Linked DNA regions of Oryctolagus cuniculus. The protein of the gene in region 1 interacts with the protein of each later gene in a pairwise test. Links are inferred from orthologs where the notes say so. Each region holds a gene or a part of one and is shown on either strand. Other genes may lie near its edges.

Region 1 (3,909 bases):
TTCCTTCCTTGAGAGACAGCTCCTGTCCATTGGTTCACTCCTCAAATCTCCACAATAGCCAAGGTTGGCCCAGGCTGAAGCCAGGAACTGAGAACCTAATCCAGGTCTCCCACATGGAGGGTGAGGACCTAGCTACTTGAGCCATCCACTGCTGTTTCCCACAGTGCTCATTAGCTGGAATCTGGAGCAAAGCCAGGACCTGAACCTAGCACTCCAGTATGGGATGTGGTCGTCCCAAGCAGCGTCGACCACTAAGACAAATGCTAGCCTGGTCATTTCCTAAAAGTCCTGCTCCGGGGCTGCTGGCATATCGCAGCAGGTTAATCTACTGCCTGTGATGCCATCATCCCCTATGAGCACCAGTCTGAGTCCCGCCTACTCCACTTCTAATCCAGGTCCCTGCTAATACACCTGGGAAAGCAGCCAAAGATGGCCCAAATGTTTGGGTCTGTGCCACCCCCATGGAAGACTTGGATGGAGTTCCAGATTCCTGTCTAGTCTGGGCCAGCCCAGGCCATTGAAGCCATTTGGAGAGTGAACCAGCAGATGGAAGATCTCTCTCTCTTTTTTTTCTCTTCTCTGTGTAACTCTGCTTTTCAAATAAATAAATCTTAAAAAGTCCTATTCCTTTTCTGCTGGAGTCCTCTGGCTGTTTGGAAGTTGCATGGAAGAAGACCACGGGAGAGATGGGCAGCCATGGTTTAAGACACCACAACAGGATCCCTCCACCCTTTTGGGTAGTGGGAGCATAGTCAGGGCCTGGCTCTTCAGTTCCCTGGCACCCAGCACCAGCTGTTGGTGTTGTTAAAGGAACAGTCTGGGAAAACTGTTTCTGCTTTTCACAGGGGATTCTTCCTCTTTTAGGGGGTCATCTCGTTACTTTCTGCTCTTGAGTAGTGGAGGGAAGAACAATGCCCTTCCCTAATAAGGGGTTACCCTAAAACAAAGGGTAAGACAGCTAACGGAGGGGAAAGGAAGGCAAGACCTCTGTGGAATCCAGAATGGAGGGATAGAAATAGATAACAGAGGGAGTCCTTGAAAGAGCAAGTTCTCACAGGATTGGCTCCCACATCACCTGAGTGATGAGAGAATCCAATTACCACAAAGTAATGAGGTGACAGCATTCCTAGGAGGCAAGCCCCAAGCACGGAATGCCTGATAGCTCCTCCTTACATCACAAAGGCCGACCTGTGACGTCATCGCTGCCCAGCCCACCGCTCTTCAGTGTGCTCTAAGAGTGCTGAAGGGCAGGGTCAGCATGAGGAGCAAACACCCACGGAGAGGTAAGGCGGGGCTTTCCAGGGCTTCTCTCCACGGCTTCCTGCCTGGAGTCGGAGCCCCAAGCCCTGCACAGACTCCTCACGTCTTCTGGGGTAGGTTTGAGCTCCTCCTGCCACAAACTCCTTCCGCGTTAACTTTCGCTCTCCCAACTCTGTCTCCAAGCCTCAGTACTCGCAGGTCTGAGTAGTCGGCCGCCTCACTGCCTGCGGCTCTGGTCTTTCTAGGAGACAGGGCACGAGCACTGGAGCAGAGTTCCCCTAAGGAGGCAGAGACTCACCATGGCCATCTGGTAGTCCTAGGCTGGAGCCAGGCTTCTGGGTACCTGAAGTATGCAACTTTTGGAGCCCCTTTAAGAAAATTAAATACAAAATTATGATATTTTCAGAATGACAAATTACAATTTTTTAAAAAGCTGCCAAATATCTGCCTAAAATTATTCATATTTCCACTTTTTTTGCCAACAGCCTTTGATAGCCTTTTCGTATAATGATTGTATGTTTTCTATGAGTCTTCTAACATGATCACTTTTGTATTGTTAATTTTAAAAAATTTTGCCCCCATGCCTTGTGATACTTTCATAAATGTTTAGAATTTTTGTCAAACTTGGTAAAACCACTATAAAATTTTGGAGCTTTTCGAATTTGTAATGGCTAATGTCATATATTCTGAATTGATAGTATCAAGAATAATGGGAACTAGCCGGCGCCGCAGCTCACTAGGCTAATCCTCCGCCTGTGGCACCGGCACACTGGGTTCTAGTCCTGGTCAGGGCGCCGGATTCTGTCCCGGTTGCCCCTCTTCCAGGCCAGCTCTCTGCTGTGGCCAGGGAGTGCAATGGAGGATGGCCCAAGTGCTTGGGCCCTGCACCCCATGGGAGACCAGGAGAAGCACCTGGCTCCTGGCTTTGGATCAGCGTGGTGCGCCGGCCGCAGCGGCCACTGGAGGGTGAACCAACGGCAAAAGGAAGACCTTTCTCTCTGTCTCTCTCTCACTGTCCACTCTGCCTGTCAAAAAAAAAAAAAAAAAAAAAAAGAATAATGGGAACTATAAATATTAGTTTGGGGGCAGGCACATTTGTAGCACAGTGCTTAGGATGCTGCTTGGGGCACCTGCAACTTGTATGGGAGTGCTTGGTTCAAGTCCTGACTCTGCTTCCAATACAACTTCTCACTGATGCACACTCTGGGTAGCAGCAGTGGTGGTTCAGGTGCTTGGATCCTTGCCACCCACATGGGAAACCTGGATTGAGTTCTGTGCTCCTGGTCTCAGCTTGATCTCTGCCTTTCAAATAAAAAATGGAAATAAACATACAGGCAGGCATTTGGCTCAGAAGTTAAGTCAGCAGCCGAGACACTCCCGTCTTGCATCAGAGTGCTTGTTTGGAGTCCCAGCTCCTCTAGGCTCCTCCATCCCTGATCCAGCTTCCTGCTAATGCACACACTAGGAGGCAGCGGGTGATGGCTCAAGTCCTTGGTTGCCTGCCAGCCTAGATTGAGTTCTGGGCTCCCGGCTTTGGCCTAGCCCAGTGCTGGCTATTGAGGCATTTCAGGAGTGTTCCAGCAGAGGGAAGATCTCTCTTTCTGACTTTCAAATAAAATGGCAGTAAATACACATTTTTAAAACATATAAGTAATTTAATTTTTCAGGGCTGCCATACAAAAATAGCAGAGACTGGGTGTGTGCTAAATTTGTTTTCTCAGTCCTGGAGACTAGAGGTCCAAGACAAGGGCACTGGCTGAGCTGACTGCATCCTGAGGCTTCTGTCCTTGATTGTAGAAGGCTGTCTGCTCATGGTCTTCCCTCTGCCTGTGCATCACAAGTCTGTGCCCAGATTTCCTCGTGGAAGGTCAGCAGTCACACTGTGTTAGGACCCACCCTAATTCATCCATCTCAGCTGAACTTAATCACCTCGAGAAACAACCTAACTCCACACGAAGCTACGTTCTGAGGTACTGGGGGACAGGACATTAACCCTAAGTTTGGGAGGACACAGTTTAATCCATAACACTGTATCCACCTGGGGATAATTGATTCTATTCACAGAAGTAACTGCAAAACCCATCAAGTATACCTACTAACCCCACAGTACACGTGATCCCTCCTCAGCTCCCTCAGCCAGTCTCCAAGTGCCCATCACCTCTCTGTGGACACCTGAGAAAGGGACATGTGACAGAGGTCAAGTCAAGAAGGAGATACCAGTCAATTCCAGTTTGGGGTGTTTTTTTTTTCCCCAAGTTTTAGAAAAACCTGTGACGATGTTGGCGTGTTGCTGCAGCTCCTCCAGTGGTGAAGGTCTGTGACAGGGAGGACGCTGCACCTGCAGGGCCTCCAGCTGTAGGGCGAGCGTGCCTCTGGTCAGCCCTGCTAATGTCTGAGCCGTGCAAAGGGCAGATGACAGGCATCACATTCTCCAGTGTTAGTCCCTGGAAGGGCTGGCAGGGGACTGTCCTGCAAAACATGGGACTCTCACCATCAGCCGAGGCTTCTCCCCCTCACCCCGGCCCACCCCAGTCCACTCCACATTCACCAGTGGTGAGGGACCTTTTTTTTCTGCCAAGAGCCATTTGGAGATATATATATACACACACACATATACATGTATACATATATACATATATATATATATAA
Region 2 (3,909 bases), on another chromosome or scaffold:
AGAGGCACAACTTCACAAGAAAATTACCAACACTAAGAAAACTGGCCAAGTGTAGCAACATGGTGCCCCGTTCATCTAACAACCTAGAAAAGCCAGAATGGGAATGGCTCAAGGGCCTGGGCTCCTGCCGCCCACGTGGGAGAGCCAGATGGAACTCCAGGCTCCTGGCTTCAGCCTGGCCCAGCCAGGACCGTTGCGGCTACTTGAAGAGCAAACTAGCAGATGGAAGATTCATTCTCTCTCTCTCTCTCTCTAACTCTGCCTTTCAAATAAATCTTTTCTAAAAAAATCACTTAAAAACTATGAAAAATCAGTATTTGGGTGTTTTCAATACAAAATGCACCAATACAAATGCACCAAAAACCTGTGTCTGGGTCTCTGTATCCCACATAGGCCGGGATAGGTAGGAAGGCTGGCCGGCAGAGTCCGAGAGAGCAGACTCCGTGACTCCAACAGTGTGGTCGGTCCACAGACGCCCCTTTTATCTCTTCTTCCTCTGTCTCTGTCCATTTTCCTTTGTCCTGCTCTTCCCTCTGTCCGCTGGCACTGCTTAGCCCTGGGAACTGACAGAGCGGCAGACACCAGGCACAAGGCACAAACCTCCTTGACAGTGCCAGGAAGTTTGCCTCCGAGTTAGCAGCTGGTGTCAGAGCGCGGCGGTAAGTGCCACATGTTGATCACCTAATACTCGAATTGCTGCACACATACATATATCTACTGAAGAGCCAAAGTGGCTCCATTTAAAAACGTAAATAAAAAGCAGCCTCTGTTTCCCGTAGCAGACCCGAGTCCTTTGTAAAAGCAGGCATTCAGGCATTCTGGAGACATCAAAGCTTACCAAGGACAGCTCAGCAGACCAAGGGCAGCTCAGTAGAGAGTGCCAAATGAGGTAACTCCCTGCACCCAAGCCAAACAGAGACACGCCCCTCCGACTAAGAGCAACCGGGAACTGCCCTGCCCAATCACAAAAGGCCCGGCACCCTGACGTATCTTCCCTTTAAAAGCGTCCCGAACAAAGACCTGGGCCTTCCTCTGACCTCCGCTGGTCAGATAAGGCCCCTGCCGGGCTTGTACTTTTAAAATAAACCTTGCTTTTGCAGGTCGGTGTGATGGGGTCGCTGATAGCTTCTTGGGGATCTACTTATCTGAGCACAACATCTATGATCTACTTCAATCCTCACTATACTCTTGCAAAACCGATTCCGAGGGGCTGAGAAAAAAATGGCCAAAGGCGGTGTATGGCCGCTAGAATTTCCTACGGGAACGACAGATGGCACCGTTTGGGGGTTTACCCGTGCCAGACTTTGGCGGGCTTAACATGAATCAACTCACTTAATTCTCACCGCGACGCTATAAACTAGGTGCTATTAACCCCATCTTACGGCCGGGGAAACTGAGGCCCGCGAATCCCACAGCTCCTAAGAGGGAGGAACAAAGGCAGGCGATCCAATTCCACAGCCAATGCCCTAACCACCATATCATAACGGATTTCAACCCATTTCTTGTTAACCGCAAAGACTCGCGCACTTGGTGCTACCCCATGGTGCGACCGGAGACTGAGGCGAGAGACGGCGGCGCGGTTCCCCTGGCAACGCCGCGGCGCTCCGCGGCGAGCTTCCGGGCCGGCGAGCGGCGCGCTCCAGTGACGTCACAGAGCCACTTTCCGGCCGGTGGCAGAGTCGGGCAGAAGTTGTGGTGGCCGGGGGCGCCATGGGGGCCACTGGCGACGCCGAGCAGCCGCGGGGACCCAGCGGGACAGAGCGGGGCGGCCCGGAGCCGGGGGATGCGAGCGCAGCTGGGCAGCTGGTTCTCACGGTGAGGACGCCCCCGCTGAGGCCTGAGCTCGGGCCGGCGGGGGCCTCGGGCTCCCGGGACCCTGGCCCGCGGGCGAGAGAACGCGGCGGCTGGTGCTGCCCGAGGGGGTTGGCGTTTTCGCAGTCCCACGACCTGGGTTCAAATTCTGGTGCCGCCCTCCCGGCGAGGTGACGTGGGCCGGTCCTGGCACCCCCCTCTAGGCTGCTCTAACATAAAATGGAGAGGAATGGTGCCTGTCCCTTCGAAGTTGTCGGGGTGGGGTGACAGATGCAGGTAAAGCTCCCGGCACCCGAGTTGCCTTGAGCCGTTCCAGGAAAGGCGGACCTGGGACGTTTGGGACAGGAAACTTCCTCAGGCCCTCTTCCCGGGCAGGGCCTGTCCACCCGGTGGGAGACTTGGAGAGAGCAGCCGAGGTGCAGCGGGGTCCAGGCTAATCCTCGCACGCACCTCCCCCTCCACGCCGCGTCAGTGTCACCGGCTTCAGTGACGTTTGCTCCCTCGCTTGGTCCCCGCAGAACCCTTGGAACATTATGATAAAGCACCGTCAAGTGCAGCGAAGGGGCCGCCGCTCTCAGATGACAACAAGGTAAGGCCGGCCCTGGCTGGAACCGGTCCCAGGGCTGGCTTGGACCGATGCTGTGGGACCCCCACCGCACAAGCCTGAGAAGAGATCTGCAGTCGGGGGAAGGAGGCGCTGTGGGCGCTGTGGCCGTGACCTTGAGCTGAACTCTTCTGCAAAGTGGGGGGGTGGGGGGAACGGCACCCGAAATCCCTAACATTCCCTGGCTCCGGGGTGGAGGGCGCCAAAGAGGTCGCAGAGCCTCGAGGTTGGCATCCCAGGCCCCGAGTCGGACAACCCGACCTGTATTAGCTGGGTGACTTGGACAGGCCGCCTTGCCTCCCTGAGCCTGTTTGTTCAGCGGTCCCAGGGAGCTAGGAGCAGTGTCTGTGTCAGGGAAGGGAGATGGTGCCGCCCCCTGAGCCCCCTGACCGCCTCCCTCCCTCCCTCCCGGCAGTTTCACAGACCCGGCCATCTCCATGGATCTCCTCCGGGCTGTCTTGCAGCCGAGCATCAATGAGGAGATCCAGACGGTCTTCAACAAGTACATGAAGGTGAGGAGACAGGAGGGTGCGAAACTGACAGGGAGAGTCCTGGGCAGCCTCGCCCTTCCCTGCCGCACTGGTGTCTCTCTGTCTCTGTGTCTCTCTCTATGTCTCCCTCGCCCTCACCCTGTGCCCCTAGAATGCTTTTTTTGCCTTTTTTTTTTTTTTTTTTTTTTTGCTTAAGTGTAATATGCTTAGCACCATGTTTGGAAAATAACCACTGTTTTTATTACTTGATATTAACATCGTTATCATTTAAAATTATTTCCTTGGCCACTACATAGCTCTGCCTGAGTGTCCCATGGGTGCTTCAAACTTAGCACATTCAGAACTAAACTCTTTCTTTCGAAGCCTCCTCTTCTGTGTAGTCATGTATTCAAGAAGCATTTACCGAGCGGCCGCCGTGCTGCACGTGCCGTCCTCGGCATTAGCACTGTAGCTGTAAGAAAGCAGACACTGTGCTCGCCCTTTGTAAACAAGTGTGTGTGTGTGACACGAGGGAATGAGAGAAGAGGGGTTGGGAAGGCCCTCCGAGAGGGGGCTTTGTGTGAAGACCCAGAGAGCGTGAGGGAAGAGCAAGCCTGGCAAATGTGTGGGAGGTAAGAGTCCGGCCACAGGGAGGAAGGAACTGGCCGGTGTGACTGCAGCCCGCTGTGCAAGGAGAGTGACTGGTGACCAGAGAGGCGCCCCTCCTGCTGGGAAATCCAGATCCCTTCCCTTGGCGTATGTGGCCACTGTGATGAAATAGCCACCTTTCCCCACGTGGGTCCCCATGCCCTGGGCATGTCCCACACCCCCACACCTTTACAGACCTAGAAATGTAAAAGGGAAGCCACGAGAGAAGGGTAGGCCATACTTCACTGCAGGCCGCTTCCCTGTGGTGGATTTGCTGATTCAGTGTTTCTCTCCTGCACAAACGCTGGGTAAACACAGTCTGTGGCCATGAGCTCCTTCTGATAGCGTCTGTGAAGATGCCTTCTTACCACACTC

The links.
Region 2: the proteins of HOMEZ (region 1) and DNTTIP1 interact in binary tests that used the Homo sapiens proteins (3 or more experiments, as listed by UniProt). The two-hybrid records come from large-scale screens. The link is inferred for Oryctolagus cuniculus from reciprocal best matches to the Homo sapiens genes HOMEZ and DNTTIP1.

What each region holds. Positions count from the first base shown.
Region 1 is NC_091443.1:51,744,450-51,748,358, forward strand, and holds the start of HOMEZ (homeobox and leucine zipper protein Homez), read left to right. Parts: upstream 1-1,223; 5' UTR 1,224-1,258; coding exon 1,259-1,373; intron 1,374-3,909. UniProt on the Homo sapiens protein: May function as a transcriptional regulator.
Region 2 is NC_091442.1:13,602,101-13,606,009, reverse strand, and holds the start of DNTTIP1 (deoxynucleotidyltransferase terminal-interacting protein 1), read left to right. Parts: upstream 1-1,640; 5' UTR 1,641-1,710; coding exon 1,711-1,815; intron 1,816-2,330; coding exon 2,331-2,401; intron 2,402-2,831; coding exon 2,832-2,928; intron 2,929-3,909. UniProt on the Homo sapiens protein: Increases DNTT terminal deoxynucleotidyltransferase activity (in vitro). Also acts as a transcriptional regulator, binding to the consensus sequence 5'-GNTGCATG-3' following an AT-tract.